Linked DNA regions of Notamacropus eugenii. The protein of the gene in region 1 purifies or fractionates together with the protein of each later gene. This does not show direct contact. Links are inferred from orthologs where the notes say so. Each region holds a gene or a part of one and is shown in the gene's direction. Other genes may lie near its edges.

What was found. The genes of interacting proteins can lie anywhere in the genome.
Region 2: the proteins of KLHL15 (region 1) and NUDCD3 purify together in Homo sapiens (co-immunoprecipitation; 3 studies listed by BioGRID and IntAct, with this or other methods). This does not show direct contact. The link is inferred for Notamacropus eugenii from reciprocal best matches to the Homo sapiens genes KLHL15 and NUDCD3.

Annotation. Positions count from the first base shown.
Region 1 is NC_092876.1:452,963,387-452,971,139, forward strand, and holds the start of KLHL15 (kelch-like protein 15), read left to right. Parts: upstream 1-4,748; 5' UTR 4,749-4,835; intron 4,836-5,216; exon of another isoform or gene 5,217-5,304; intron 5,305-5,419; exon of another isoform or gene 5,420-5,524; intron 5,525-5,566; exon of another isoform or gene 5,567-5,740; intron 5,741-7,753. UniProt on the Homo sapiens protein: Substrate-specific adapter for CUL3 E3 ubiquitin-protein ligase complex.
Region 2 is NC_092872.1:522,770,459-522,777,585, reverse strand, and holds the start of NUDCD3 (nudC domain-containing protein 3), read left to right. Parts: upstream 1-4,119; 5' UTR 4,120-4,491; coding exon 4,492-4,683; intron 4,684-7,127.

The DNA of each region.
Region 1 (7,753 bases):
TGGTTAATAATATTTTCAGTTTTTACTTACAGGGTTGTGAGGAAAACCAAGTTGTAAATGTTAAAGCTCTATAGAAAGGGGAACCCATTATTACTGCTGTTCGTTGATAGCAGCAGGGTTAGCAGAATAAAGAATGTCAGTTACTTTATAAATGTTAGCTATCATTATCATGATATTAAATAATATCATTTGAAAATAAACCCATTGTATTTTTAAGTTTTTAACTCTAACCACCAGGGGGGGTTCTTGTTCCTCATTTTTTACTGGGTGAGGCGAATGACATCATGATGTTGGGGTCAAGGTACATCTCTTCCCAGTGGTGTTGTTCATCCTTCATTCTAGTTCTGGAAGAGGACCGATGACATCGTGAGGGTGGTATCTTGACTTCCATGGGAATTGGATTTAAGTGAGGCAGAGTTGCACAAATATGTGTCAACCTTGCTCTCTCTTCCAGAGTGATTGAAACTCAGTTGCGAGACAGAAATCAAGATGACCAGGAATGGCTCAGGATGCAGTGGATGACCTTGCTGTCTTTGATGCCTGGCCAAACTCTAAAAACTCCATAGCACCTACTTCTGCCAATTTCATGTCCCACTGGAACAAATTGTTCTCATCTGCCTATTCTGATGGAAGTTTTCACATACTTACAGCAGACATCCCCCTCTGTTACCCTTAACTTGGTTTAGCCTATCTGCCAAGACAATTTTACCAGGGTCTGACCACCAAGCATGTTTCTTGCAGCTACAAGTAAGAAGTCGGTAACAGGGGGATACCAAAGGTATATGAGCAGCCCTGGAAAAGGCTCAGCAAGTCCTCACACCAGAAGTACTAGTTCTCTCTGAATGCCCTATACACGCCTACCAGGGAATATCATCTCCAAATGCCTGACCTTATTTGTTGGTAAGTTAAATGCTAACAGTCCCATGCTCACTTCAACAGTTGAGTACTCCCAGCAATGCCAGAGGGTGGTGTGGGGGTAATGCCAAGTTCTCTGCAGTTCTCAGAGCATTAGTTACTTCTGTATCTTAGCTCAGGAATGTGTTGGAACTAGCTCAAACAGGCTAGGGCAAACTGATGATTAAATTTTCATTGTGGGCATTATGCCTTGGAAATAGGCAAATGTTACATCTCAGGACTTTAATTATTGTTTTGTTGATTGTCTAGAGTCTCTAGACTTAAGAAAATGATGGAGAAAATGTTAATAATGCAGATTAAACTTTAAAATGCATCACATGTACATTTCCTCCCAGAGATCCAGTTGTTGAACATTTTTGGGCATAATCCTGCCCTATACCTTTTTTTGATTATAGACATGTACAGGTAGTACAGATTTTTTAGATTCATCCATTTAGACTCTTATGACTCATGGTGCTCCTTCCCCTCAGAAAACTCTAGGCTGATCCTTTCAGTGATATTTTTATGGACTTCTAACACACACACAGAGCATAATAGAGTCAGTCACGCAAGGAAGTATATGTTCTTTTCGTATATGGAAAAAAAGAAATACTAAATACATGAAGAACAACCACTGTGAAGGCTGAAGGCTCATAGCTCATCTCAAGTCTAGCTAACCCAAAGCAGTGCTGTTTGTAGGTATGTCCTCAAATTCAGGAATTCAAGGAATGCAGTTCAGATCCTTAAATTTAGACTGTACTCAAAGAAAACTCAGGCATTTAAGAGACTTAGTTTAGAGACTTAGATTTAGACCTCCTTAATTCTACTGTAGGAGTATGTGTTGGGGTGTGTGTCATATTTGGATCATCCACTCAAGAAGTCCCCACAGCTAAGCACTGAAGGACTCAGCTGAATCCTCCCATTCTCACTCACTATGATGCTGGCTAGAGCAGGACTCTAAATGGTTTTTGCTGTACTGACACTAGCAGCTTCCAGGGAAAGGCTTGGCACAGCAAATGGTTGACCAACATTACATAGTTTATTTCTAAGCAATCTGGTAAGAAGACAAACAAAATGCCTTTCCCTCAGCTCCATCTTCTAAAGTCCCCTCTCTGTTCTTGCTTCTCAAATTTGCACATAGTGTGGTGGTTGTCCTTTGTTCTCAGAGAGGACCACATGATAAAATGAAGTTTCATTATGTACGACCGTGGCTGATCAGACCAATTCAAGCTCGGAATGCTCTGCCACAGATTGGGCACAGAAAGTCTGTGTGAACATTTGGGGTGGTTATTCCAAATTTGTGCATCCTACATTTCCTTTGTGCTGTTTCAATTCTGCTTTGCTCATAGAGCACAGCACCTTTTTCTGATGTGGGCATGCCATGCTGAGTGGTCCTGTCTCCCATGTCGCACAATCAAATCCAAAGTTCGAGACCTTGAGAGAGTCTTTATATCACTTCTTCTGACCACTATGTGATCACCTTCAAGACAATCTATTCCCTTTACCTTTATAGAGATGGACAATGGAGGCATCTTTGAACTCCTGGGGGGATAACTTCCTCTTGCCATATAACTTGGAATATTTCAGTCAGCTTTTGTGTGAGCAATGGTCATGTGCTTTGCCAAATAAAAGGAGCCTAATGGCCCTCCAAACCTCTTCTTCAGTTGGAAGTATAGGTAAGGAGGGATTGACTTCAACCTGAGGTAAACAGTCAGTGACCTCAGCATTAATTGATGATGATCTGGTGAGAATACTACAGAAGTGTTCAGCCCTTGTCTCTAGGATCATGTCCTTTTCACTAATCAATGTGGCTCCATCAGCACTGAGTAGTTGTGATGCACCATAGGTTTTTGGTCTGATATTTTTTGCTGATAGTAACAATCCAAAGAGATTTTATGATTTTATGATTCCCTGAAAGCTATTTATGAAAGCACACACAGTCTGTGACCTAAATCACTTCCATCTCATATCTATTTCTCTATTGTCTCAGACGCCCAGAGAAAGCTTTGTGGGCATACACACTTTCAAGGGGTCAGAGCTCCTCAGTTAAAACACCTAACGTAGTTGTGCAGTTGTTTTACAGGAGGTAGAGTATCTTTTTTGAGCAACAGCAAGGTTGCTGGTATCACTGGATCACCGTGGAGAGTAAGATGTAAAAAGCCTGGGAAAGTAAAGGCTTTGAATGCCAAAGAAAGGATTTTATATTTGATCCTGGAAGTGATAGGGAGCCATGGGAATTTACTGAATTTTGTTATGCATGTTTCAGTCTTCTTTGGTTATGTCTGACTGTGACCCCATTTGGCATTTTCTTGGTAAAGATCCTGGATTGCCTTGCCATTTCCTTCTGCAACTCATTTTACAGAGGAGGAAATGGAGGCAAACAGCGTTAAGTGACTTGCCCAGGGTCACATAGCTAGTTTGAGGCCATTATTTGAACTCAAATCTTCCTGACTCCAGGCTGTGTTCTGTTCACACGCCTAATACAGAAGTGTTAACCAGAAAAGTCCCAGTAACAAATGAAAGCACTGAGCAGAGGTATTTCCTTATTTCTAAAATGAAGGTGTTAGACTACATACTGTGACCTTAAAATTTAGATTCTATGTGCTTCACAGGTAGTTCCTTCCTCATACTTTTAAAAGTCTCTGGGTTTTTTCAGTGTGATATGGCTATCCCTTCCTTATTTATTTTCATGTGGTCTGTTTCTGCAAAATGTATACGTATGTTCTTTTGGTCTGCTGAAAATTGTTGTTTGCTATCTTCCTAGAGAAAAGTCTTATGAGGGTCTTTCAAAATTTTTCATATGATTTCATTTTACCTGGATGTTTGTTTATACTCTAAACTTATCTGAGAAGTGAAAAACCAAAAACTATAATGGCATTTATCCTCTCTATTTGATAATAATAAATCTCTTAATTTAATGTGCTTTTGGAGTAGGAATGCTGACCTCCCAAGTATTTTCTCCCTGTCCTTTCCTTCACTTTTTCTAGAAGAAAACTAATATTAGTAGATTTATAAAACAGTTTATAAATGGTACTTTTATATTTCAGGAAAAAAAACGGAGGCCAAGAAAAATCGACGTTTTTTAACAGCTCTAATTAGAATCTGGGTGTTGGTATGTAAATAAATATTGAATGTGACTTGCCTACTCAAGATAATCTGAAATTTTCTTCTATTTTCTTTCGGCGCAGATAGAAATAGAGCAGTGTTTTTAGATTGCTCAATGGTGCCCGTGTGCCATTTTCTATAAATTACCCCCCACTGGGAGAGGTACAGCGCTGAGCAGGTAACTGCGGTGCTCGAAGCCGAGTGGAAATGTGACGCAACACTTCAGCGCAAGTTGCCTGATAAAAATGACGTCATTTAGTGCAGGGGGAATCACTCTCAGAACACAACTGCGCCCATCCTCCCACCGCCTTCCCCACACCCTCCCGTCCGGTGATGCCCGTTGCTGTAGCCTCTTCGGTACCCGGGGGGGCTGCCCAGGGTGGAAGGACAAACATCTCTGCCCCCTGGCACAGGAGCCAAGGGTCCTGCGCATACGCGCAGAGCGTGGTAGCATCCCAAAGAAACAAACGCTTGCCAGTTTTAAAGCCATCGCGGAAGCCCTTAAGGACGCTGCCCGGGCTGGGACGCCCCCGGTGCCCCCCGGAGAGGGGTGCCCCCCGGAGAGGGGTGCGCCCCGGGGCTCGGGTGGCGGTCATTCCTTTACGACAGGCCCATTTGCCATAAGGGGCAATCGCAGGCGGGGACTCGATGACGGGATGAGAGCGTGGGCCGGCGCCACCCCAGGCCCTTCCGCTCAGGGTCCGGTGACTCCCGAGCCTGGTCAGCTTCGGGCTTCGGGCCGCAGGTGGCGGCGGCGGCGGCGGCGGAAGTGACGCACGCGCGGTGCCCGGCGTTAGAAAGAAAGATGGCGGCGCTGGCGCTGGACCAGGGGGAAGGTAAACACCGGTCAAGGCTGCTGTTGTTGCTCCGGGGAAACTAGTCTTTCTTCCTTCCGACCTCTTCCGCAGCCTCGCGGCCTTTCCAGGAACGAAGGAGGGCCGGGGGCTGGGGGATGCCTCCCCCGCTTCCTCCCGCTGTTCCCCACCCCCTTCCCTTCCTCCCTCCGCCCGCCGCGGGTTTCTCCCTGGGAGTGTGTGTCTCCGCCGCGGAGCCTGAAAGGCCCGGCTGAGGGGCGGGCGGGCGGGCGGTCCGGGGGAGGAGGCCCCGCGGCGGCGCCGGGGCCGGGGCCAGGGCCGGCCCGCGGGCACGGGGAGGAGCGGCCTCGGCCTCCCGGCGTGGCTAAGCTCCGGAGCCGGGGGAAGCCGGAGCCGAGGGAGGCCGGGCCCGGGGGAGGCCGGGCCCGGAGCCGAGGGAGGCCGGGCCGGGCGCCCGCCTCCCTCCCCCCCAGCGGAGCCGCTCCTGCAGGTATCGCCGTTATTGTCGTTACTGGGCCTCGGAAGCGACGCTGGGGTCCCCGGGGCGAGGACGGGGTGGGGGGGACCCCGGGAGGCTGAGTGGCTCGTTTCTCCCCAGGGCAGGGACGGCGGGGGCCGCAGCCACCCCAGCAGCCGGCGCGCAGGCTCCCCCCACGCTGGCCTCCTCGAGGTGCCCCGGCCCCGGCCTGGAGGGAGGAGCCCCTCTAGAGGTGAGCAGCGGCGGCGGCGGCGGCGGCGGAGGAGGGGGAGGAGGAGGAGGAGGAGGGCGCAGTCTTCATGGCCTCTTCTGCCGAGTACCGGGACGCCCGCGAATCCCCATGGCCGAGGTGCTTTTCCTGATGCAGACGCCAGTCCACTCGTAACTGGACCGAGCCCCCCGAGGTGCGTATCCGGCCCCCGCCCAGGCTTTGGGAGAGCTCATTTCGGTAAGACTGCTAATGGAAGCAGGGTCTTGGCCGAACTGAATTCCCAGCTTCTCCTGCCTTCCGATCCCGAAAGTGCCCTTAGCCTTGTGTGCATTAAAATGGTCCGGACATTCGTGGGGTTTGTGCTTCCCGTGATGGAGCACTGGCTTTTAAACCAAAGGCCCCCAGCTCTTCTTAGGAGTCATGCAAAAGCGCCACATGTATGGAAATGAGGGTTAGTAGGAAGTTTTTTAAATGGATTTAAATTCTAAGAGATGTGTCATTTTCCCCTTTTTATTTTGATATTTTAATATCTAAGAGAGCAAAGTCGTGTCATACAGATATGTCCTAACTTTGGGCTCCATTTTTACCTCCTGATCACTGTCTACCGTCTTTCCAGACATTTTACATTCCCCCTTTCCTCTCTGTTACAGCCAAACTGACTTTCTTGGTATTCTCTGAATTTAACTTTTCATCTCTCACCTCTGTGCCTTTCCGCAGGCTGTCTCCAATGACTGAAATGCATTCTTTCCTAACCTTCAGCTTTTTAGAATGCCTAGCTTCCTTGAAGACTCAGCTCACATGCCTTCTCCGATAAAGATGCCTTTACTGATTTACCCCTTCATCATTCCCCTGTGCTTTATATGTGGTGATACAAAATGAAGAAGCCACTTTGTTAAGATACTTTTTAAACATTAAATTAATTTCATTTTTTAAGTCAAATTTTCTCTCATTTCGCATTGGAAATTTAAAAAAAAGCAAAGCAAAATGGAACCTTTGTGACAAATATACATAGTCAAGAAAAATAAACATCCTTCCTTTGGCCCTGTCCAAAATTTATGTGACCCATTTGGCATCATGAGACTTGAGGAGGTAAAGAGCTTTGGTCCTCCGGAATTGTGGTTGGTGCCTTCCTTGGTCAGAGTTCTTAAGTCTTTCCAAGTGGTTTGGCTTTATTTATGGGGTTGTTGTCATTGTATAACTGTCTTCCTGGTTCTGCTCGCTTCACTGCATCAGTTCATACAAGTCTTCTCCTCATTTCTTATGGCACAGTAGCATTCCATCACATCCATATTCCACAGTTAGTTCACCATTAACCGATTGCTGGTAGTCCTTGGTTTTCACTTCTTTGCCCCTACAGAAAGAGCTATTACAAAACCTTTTTATACATTTTTGCCCTCTTCTTTCATTGATCTCTTTGGGGTACAGGTTTAGTAATGATATTGTTGGGTCAACGAGTACATACAATTTAGTCACTTTTTGTGCATTGTTCCATAGTGCTTTTCTGAATGGCTGGACCGTTTCCCAGATCCACCCATTAATGTGTTTCTATTTTCCCTGCAACCCCTCCAATATTTGTGATTTTTCTTTTTTTGTCAATTTTGCCAATTTGATAGGTATAAGATGGAACCTCAGAGTTGCTCTAATTTACGTTTCTCTATTGGCAATTTGCAGTATTTTTTACATTGCTATTGATGGCTTGGATTTCTTTCTTTGAAGGACCTATTTGTATGTTTTGACTCTATGTTGGGTGGGGAATGACTCATTTATAAATTTGAATCGGTTCCTTATGTATCTTGATAATGACTTTTTTCAGAGAAAGTGCCTGCAAAAAGAATTCTCCTAGTTAACTTTTTCTTCTCATCTTCTCTGCATTGGTCTTGTTCTGCAGAAACTTTTAAGTTTTATGTAATCAAACTTTTCTACATGGTATTTTATAATATAAACTACTATAATGTTAAGTTGTTTTGATGATGTGAACTTTAATCTTTATAACATTACTTTTACAGTACTTCCACATTTATAAGTAAATTGTAAATTTCAGAAAATAACTTTGTTAAGTAAAATAATGTCCACAAAGTGTCTCATTTTATCTAGTTTAAGCACGTAGTTGTTGAATCATTTTTCAATTTTCTCACTCTTTGTGACCCCATTTGGGGTTTTCTTGGCAGAGATACTGGAATTGTTTGTCCTTTCCTTCTCCAGATCATTTAACAGATGAGGAAACTCAGATAAGCAGGATCACGTGACTTG
Region 2 (7,127 bases), on another chromosome or scaffold:
AAAGAGTGAAACGCAGTGGGGAAAAGCATTAGATTTGGAATGAAAAGATCTAAGTTTGATTCTAGCTCTGCCACTTAACTACTTGTGTGATCTTGGGCAAGTCTCTTCACCTCTGGTCTCAGTTTCACCATCTACAATATGAGATGGCTGAACGAGAAGAAAGGGTCTAGTTTTTGCCATAGTCAATTGACATTTATTAAGTGCTTTCTAGGTGCTAGGCACTGTGTTAAGTAATAGGGATTCCAATACAAAAAAGGCAATCTCTATTCTAAAGGAGTTTACAATCTAGCGGGGGAGTATTGGGAAGTTCCTCTTTAAATGAGGAGAAATATGTGTTTTTTTGTCTTTTTTTTTTCTGCAATTCCACCCCTTTTTTCTAATTATCTTTTCTAGGGCAGGAGTTCTTAAGCTATTTGTGTATCACTTACCCCACTGGGGCTCTGGTAAAATTTATTCTCAGAAACTCTTCTTGGAATAATGTTTTTAAATGCATAAAATAAAATGAATTACAAAGGAAACCAATTATATTGAAACTGAAGGATTAAAAAACAAACAAACCTAGTTGATAGATTCCAGGTGAAAGGCCAAGCACAAATCTAAACCTTCTTCTATATGACTGATTGAAGGATGAGGCCATGAACTTGCAATCTCCATTTAAGGAGACTTCAGTTTAGAAAACTCACTTCTTACCTGGGTGCTCTACCTTGGGACTTCCCTGCCTTTTTCCACTAAGCCACCATGTTGGTTATTTCTTCTCCTCCTTTCCCTTTCTTAGTTTCCTTTTGAGTCTTACTTTCCTTTACTGGATTGCAAATTCCTTGAGGAGCTTTGTATCTCCAGTGCTTAGCACAGTACCTGACACATATTCAGCCATGTCTCACTCTTAGTGACTCCAATTGGGGTTTTCTTGGTAAAGATCTTGGAGTGGTTTGTCATTTTCTTCTCTAGCTTATTTTATAGATGAAGAAGCTGAAGCAAATAGATTTAAGTGACTTGCCCAGGCTCACATGGCTAATAAGTGTCTGAGAGCAGATTTGAACTTAGGCTTTCTTGACTGCATGTCCAGTGTTCTATCCACTAAACCACCTAGCTACTTGAAATGGGGTTAGGGCGAAGGCAAACCCACCACACATGCTGTTAGCACTGAGCACTGATGAAAAATATCAGTCTGTATGGATTGTCATGAAAGAAATACCAGTGACAGAGATAAATGAATTCTGGAAAAGCTCTTAAGTTCCAGGGAATGTAAGAAGTAATTCCCTGCTTCCCCACGGATTCTGCTCTGATTGCCTGGGCTTGATGAGCATGAGGGGCAGGGGTTTGAAGGAAGCAGGGTTGAGGCCTAATATCTTCTATAGGTCCACCCCTGCTATTAGGAGGTCTACTAGGCCAGGAACAGATGTCAGATCTTCACCTGTCATTATCTAAAGTGGAAAGATTCAGAGGAAGAGTACCACCACACTGAATCCTCCTGGGGCTTAGGGGCTTGGAGAGGAATGGAGCAGTCAGCTGCTGAGCAGCTAAGAAGTGGGGAAAGCACACTAAGCTCACTAGATAGAATCTCTGGCAGCACTGCTTCCAGCCTAATTCTCTTCTTCACATGGCTGTGCCTACCGAACAACTCCAACCTGGCTCCATTGGGGAGCAGTCTGAGGTTTCCCTTGCTTCAGCTGCTGTTGCTGCTGTTGCTGCTGTCTTCACTTGTTTGAGTATGCCCCCAAGTGGCTCAGGGTTGAAACAATGGATATCCTGGGTAACATTAGCCTCCTTAAAACTCTGCTGTACACCTGTGCTATGAGACAGCGAGACCACATGCCCACTATTGCTACTGGGTCTTGGGGCAGCTGCCTCTTTGCCACAACCAGGTCTGCCAGCTCTGACTTGCTGCCAAGTGCCCCCACACTCTGCTCCCAGCTCTCCAACTTCTGCTTTTTTAGCTATGAGACTTCTAAGAAGGCTGTGGGGTTGGCTTGAATGGGCAGCTGGGTAGGTGCAAGGGTGAGCTCTTCATCAATCAGTGTCTTAGATCAGTCACCATTTCCTGGCTTCTTCTTTCCATTTCCATTTGGGCTTTCTCCTGATCTCACTGGAGTTTCTCCTTCTCAGACACTTGGTACTGCTGTGATATTGCTTCAAAGTCCACATTAGCCTAGCACTGGGTAAACACTGTCAGCTCCTGCAGATTTTCCAGTGTCTCCGTCTCCAGCTTGGAGTCCTTGATCTGGTTCTCCAGCCCCTTCATGGAATTATTTAATTCTTCATCTTCTCTTTCCTTCTATAACCTTTTTTCTTTAACTTTCAGGAGTTTCTCAGCCTAGAAATTTCATGTGGCTCCATGATATAATTTGTATTCTCTGGGTCTGTTTTGAAGGTAATTTCAGCTAGACAATAGGTACATTTGATGTGGAAGTGAAAAATTGCAGATATAGCTTATTCTGTACTGTCTTCTTCCAGGCATTAAATTTCTTGCCTTCATAAATATACTCACTACATAAGTCTTATGTTGAATGGGGCCATTGGTCTCACCACATACTGCTGATCTTTGAGCATCTTGAGTTTAGGGATTTTTGGTGGATCAAAATGTTTTTTTTTTTTTCCAAGACATCTTGGTGCCATTTCACTATGGTACCTTTCCCCTCCAAATGCTCCTGGCTAATATGTGGTTTTCAATAAGTCGACAGTGGCCCCATAGGTTGCTGTTCCAGTTTCATCAACTGATCTTCCCGTTACACAATCTATTGGCACAAAAAAGTGCTGGATTTAGAATTAAAGGACCTGGGTTTGAATCCTGTCAGTTGTTAATCTTGGGTCTCCCACTTAAAACTCTCTGGACCTCAGTTTCTTATAAATGTAAAATGAGAGGCTGTTTAGATAAGCTTCTAAGGTCCCTTTCAGATTTAAATCTTGTTATTTTAAGATCCTTTCACTTTTCTGGTCTTCCTTCAGCTTTTTATTGTTGTTTTGTTTTGGCTGGGTCCAACTCTCCATGATGCCATTTGGTGTTTTCTTGGCAAAGATACTGGAGTGGGTTTGGCATTTATTTCTTCAGGTCACTTCACAAATGATAAACCGAGGGGCAAACTGGATTAAGTGACTTCCTCCATGTCCTACAGCTAGTAAGTGTCTGAGGCTGGATTTGAACTCCGATTTTCCTGCCCACAGCTCTATCCACTTAGCTTACTCATATCACCCAAATATGCCCCAGACTGAACTTAGCACTTCAGACTTGGCCTGACTAGGGCAAATTGGGGACCGCATAAAACACACCCCTTTTATCAGCCCAATAAAAATTTTTAAAGCTTTCCAACTTTCTCTTAAAGCAAAAGGTTTTCAGTTTTTAAAATTTCTTTAACTTTTAAAAATAACTTTTACCTTTACATTACCTTCAAAATCTTATGTTCTCCCCAACAGAGGGAAAAAAAGGTAGTTATACTATAAATATAACATTAAATAAATAGCTGTAAAGTTTACAGGGCTTCCGGAGCGCTCTAGGTGTTATCTCATTTGAAAAATTATAAAGAGAAGAAAAAAAATCAGTTTAGCAAAACCAGCCCGGCGCAGCGAGCCCAGAGGGCAATGCTCGGTGCGCAGGCAGCATGACTGGGAGGGTTGGCAGGGGATGTGGGGCACTCCTAGGGCCGCAAGGCAAGCACCGCTCTTGACAACACCCGGGGTCGGGATCGGGGTCGGGATCGGGGTCGGGATCGGGGTCGGGATCGGGGTCGGGATCCAGCGGTGCTCCGCGACCTCGGAATCTCCCTAGCCTCCTTTTCCTGGCGTGCACAACAGGGGGGCTGAAACCGAAACCATTTAACTTCCACACCAGCTGCAGCCCTCGGGGCGTCTGGTTCCAGGCCCGAGGTCACCCCGGTTCTCAGGACGCCGAGCGGACCGAGGCTAAGCACGATTCAGTCCGGAGAAACAAACTTCAAACAGAAAGGAGCCCGAAACTCGGAGTCACGTGACGCTCGGAACCCACGCGCGCGCAGTGGGAGGTGGCGATGTTTTCTCAGTGACGCGCGTACGTCACGTGGAGGGGGGAGGCGTAGAAAACTTCCTTTGCCCTCTTCCCACAGGGTCGTTGGGTGTCACGTGCTCGCCAACCCCCGACTTTCTGGTCTGGGCCCTCTTTTGGTTCCCCTGCTGCGTCGAGCCTGTTTAGCCAGGGCACCCACGCCGGAAATCCCGACGGCGGCGGCGGCCTCGGCGCCGGGGGAGGGACGTTGTCTCCGGAGGCAAGCAGGGCAGACCGGAAGTCCCTCGGTCTCGGCGGCTGGGTGGTGGAGCCGTTGACGGTGCCCACGCTTACACACATACACACAAACACACAAACACATACACACACACTCACACGCTCACATACAGCGGAAGCCGCCGGTCAGAGGCAGAGGCGGCGGCTGACGCTGAGACCCAGGCCGCGGCAGGCCGCTGCACCCCCTGTCCCCGAGTGTCAGTGTCCCTCCCGCCTCGGGGCCGACCGGGCCGGTCGCCATGGAGCCCGGGGCGGCGGAGCTGTACGACCAGGCGCTGCTGGGCATCCTGCAGCACGTGGGCAACGTCCAGGACTTTCTGCGGGTGTTGTTCGGTTTCCTTTACCGCAAGACGGACTTCTACCGCTTGCTGCGCCACTCGGCTGACCGCATGGGCTTCCCCCCCGGGGCGGCCCAAGCCATGGTGCTGCAGGTAACCGGGGGTGGGGGGGGCACGGCGGGGCGGGGCGGCTCGGCGCGACCCCACCCGAGGGCTGCGTCCCTTTGTCACCGGGGGTGTGGGGGGGGGAGCCGCCCTTTCGCCGCCACCTCTGCCCCGGTGCCCGGGATATGGAAGGGAGGGAGCGAGGAGAGCCCGGAGCTCGGTCACCCTCTGTTGGCCGCTTCCCCTCTCTGGCCCGCAGCTTCCTTTTCTGTAAAGTGACCTCTAAGACCTCTCCCAGCTCGGACGCTCTGGGAGTCTGTTTGGGGGGATTTCAGTCCCCTGGGTCTCTCCGGTCTATCCGAGGCCCCCTGCTGAGCTGCCTTCTTTGAAAGGGCGTGACGGGGCTCTTGCTGAGGGGGCCTGAGGACTTGGAATCAATCTGGAAGAGTTGGGTTTTCATTCCTGCCTTCACACCGCTCCTACAGTTGGAAGGAATCCTAGAGGTTTTCTTAGTGCTACCCCACTCGTTTTACCCATGGGAAAATCTGGGAAAAGAACTGAAGTAGTTTACCTACAGTTAAGCAGTGGTAGTGAAGACCTGCCATTTGAACCCAGGTCATATCGCTCCAAATCCAGCTCTTTTCATACTAACACTCTTTACTGTGATCTTGGACAAGATAGTTTCTCTCTGGATTTTAGTTTCCTCATCCGTAAAACGGGGAATAAAAAATAGCATCAACTCTGGCAATATTTTGAGGTTCCAATAAGGTAACGTTTCCTCAGCTGTAAAACAGGGAATAAAAGTAGCATCTATCTCAGGGATATTTTGAGGCTTCTAGGTAATGTATGTAAAACTTTGGCTTTATAAATCTTCAAAGAGGAATATAAATATTACCTATTTTTATGGTGGCCTGGACACCACTGGAGGCTTGGGAGCATCACTTAGAGAACTCCACTTTCCTGAGAGGAAAACATAAATAACCTCAATAGAACTAGAGCTATGTTAAAATGGAATAATTGACCAAGAGGTTGAAGGGAAGGAAGCAGGATCATAGGCTGTCAGGTTGTGGAATGGGCGCAATTTTTTGTTCAAAGTTTGATGAATTTCAAGGTGTCTATTTAAATCCAGAAGTAAAAATATTAATCTGTATCTGAGGTAGGAAGAAATTTCCTATATTAGTAAATTGGTGTCTTATGCCTCTACTAGGATTATAAATTTAAAGCTGGAAGGGACCTTAGAGGACATCCAGTGCAACCCCTTCATTTACAGATGAGAAAATTGAGGCCCAGAGAGATTAAGTGACTTGGCCAAGGTGACACAGATGTAAATATCAGAGGTGGGATTTGAACTTAGGTCCTTTAACTTGAAATCAAGTGCTTTTCCATTGTACCATCATGAACTGTGAATTATTTGAGGGCCAGCATTGTGTCTTTTCTAACCTTTCCTATGACCAGAAATTTCATCTAATAGTTCTGTACAAATAATAGTGATGATGATGATGATGATATAGATCACATTTATATGATGCTTTACATGTTATTTAATTTTCTCCTCATGACAGCCCTATGAAATAGATACTGTTATTATTTCCATTTTAAAGATGAGAGAATAAGTTCAGAGATGTTAAGTGACTTGCCTGGGTGTGAACATACAGCTCGCAAATGTGTGAGGCAGAATTGTTTTTCTTTTGCTTTTAAAGATATATTTTGTTTGTTTTAATCATCCAAGATCTGTCTTTTCACCTTTGTAACCCAATCCCCTACTTGAACATAAGAAAAACAAAAGCCATTACAAACTTGTATGGTCAATCAAAGCAAAATTCCAAACGGGTCTTGTCCAAAAAAAATTTGTCTTAGTACTTTACCTCTCAGGAGGTAGATAGCATATTAATTTTCTGGAACCCTGGTTGGTCATTATGCAGATAAAGAGTTTAGCACAATAGTATTCTATTCCATTTATATACTATATTTTGTTCATCTATTATTCAATTTATGGGCACCCTGTCAAGTTGCCATTCCTTGCCACCTCAAAAAAAGCTATTTTTTTATATCTTTAGAGTTTGTTTTGTTTAAAACTAATCCCTCCCTTGACTTAACCTTTCCTCTAAGACTCCTTTTCCCTAATCCCTGTTCCCTCCTATTTCCCTGTTGAATGAAAGGTATTTCTGTCTTCATCTGAGTATGTGTATTCTCCCTTCTTTTGACTATTTTGAATGAAAGGAAGGTTCAAATGTCTCTCTGTTCCCCCCCCTCCAACCCCTCTACATTCATCCTGATAAAGTAAGGTAATTTTCCCTAACCTTCCTTTCCCTTTTTAATCAGGAATGTTTGAAAGTTGTCTGTTTCTTTAAGAATCTGGTTTTTTTTTCTCCCATAATATTGCATTCAGTTTTGCTGGTAAGTTTTTCTTGACTATAAAGCCCATATAGCTTTTGCCTTCTGGAATATTATATTCCATGTTCTCTATTCCTTTATGGTGGTGACAGCTAAAT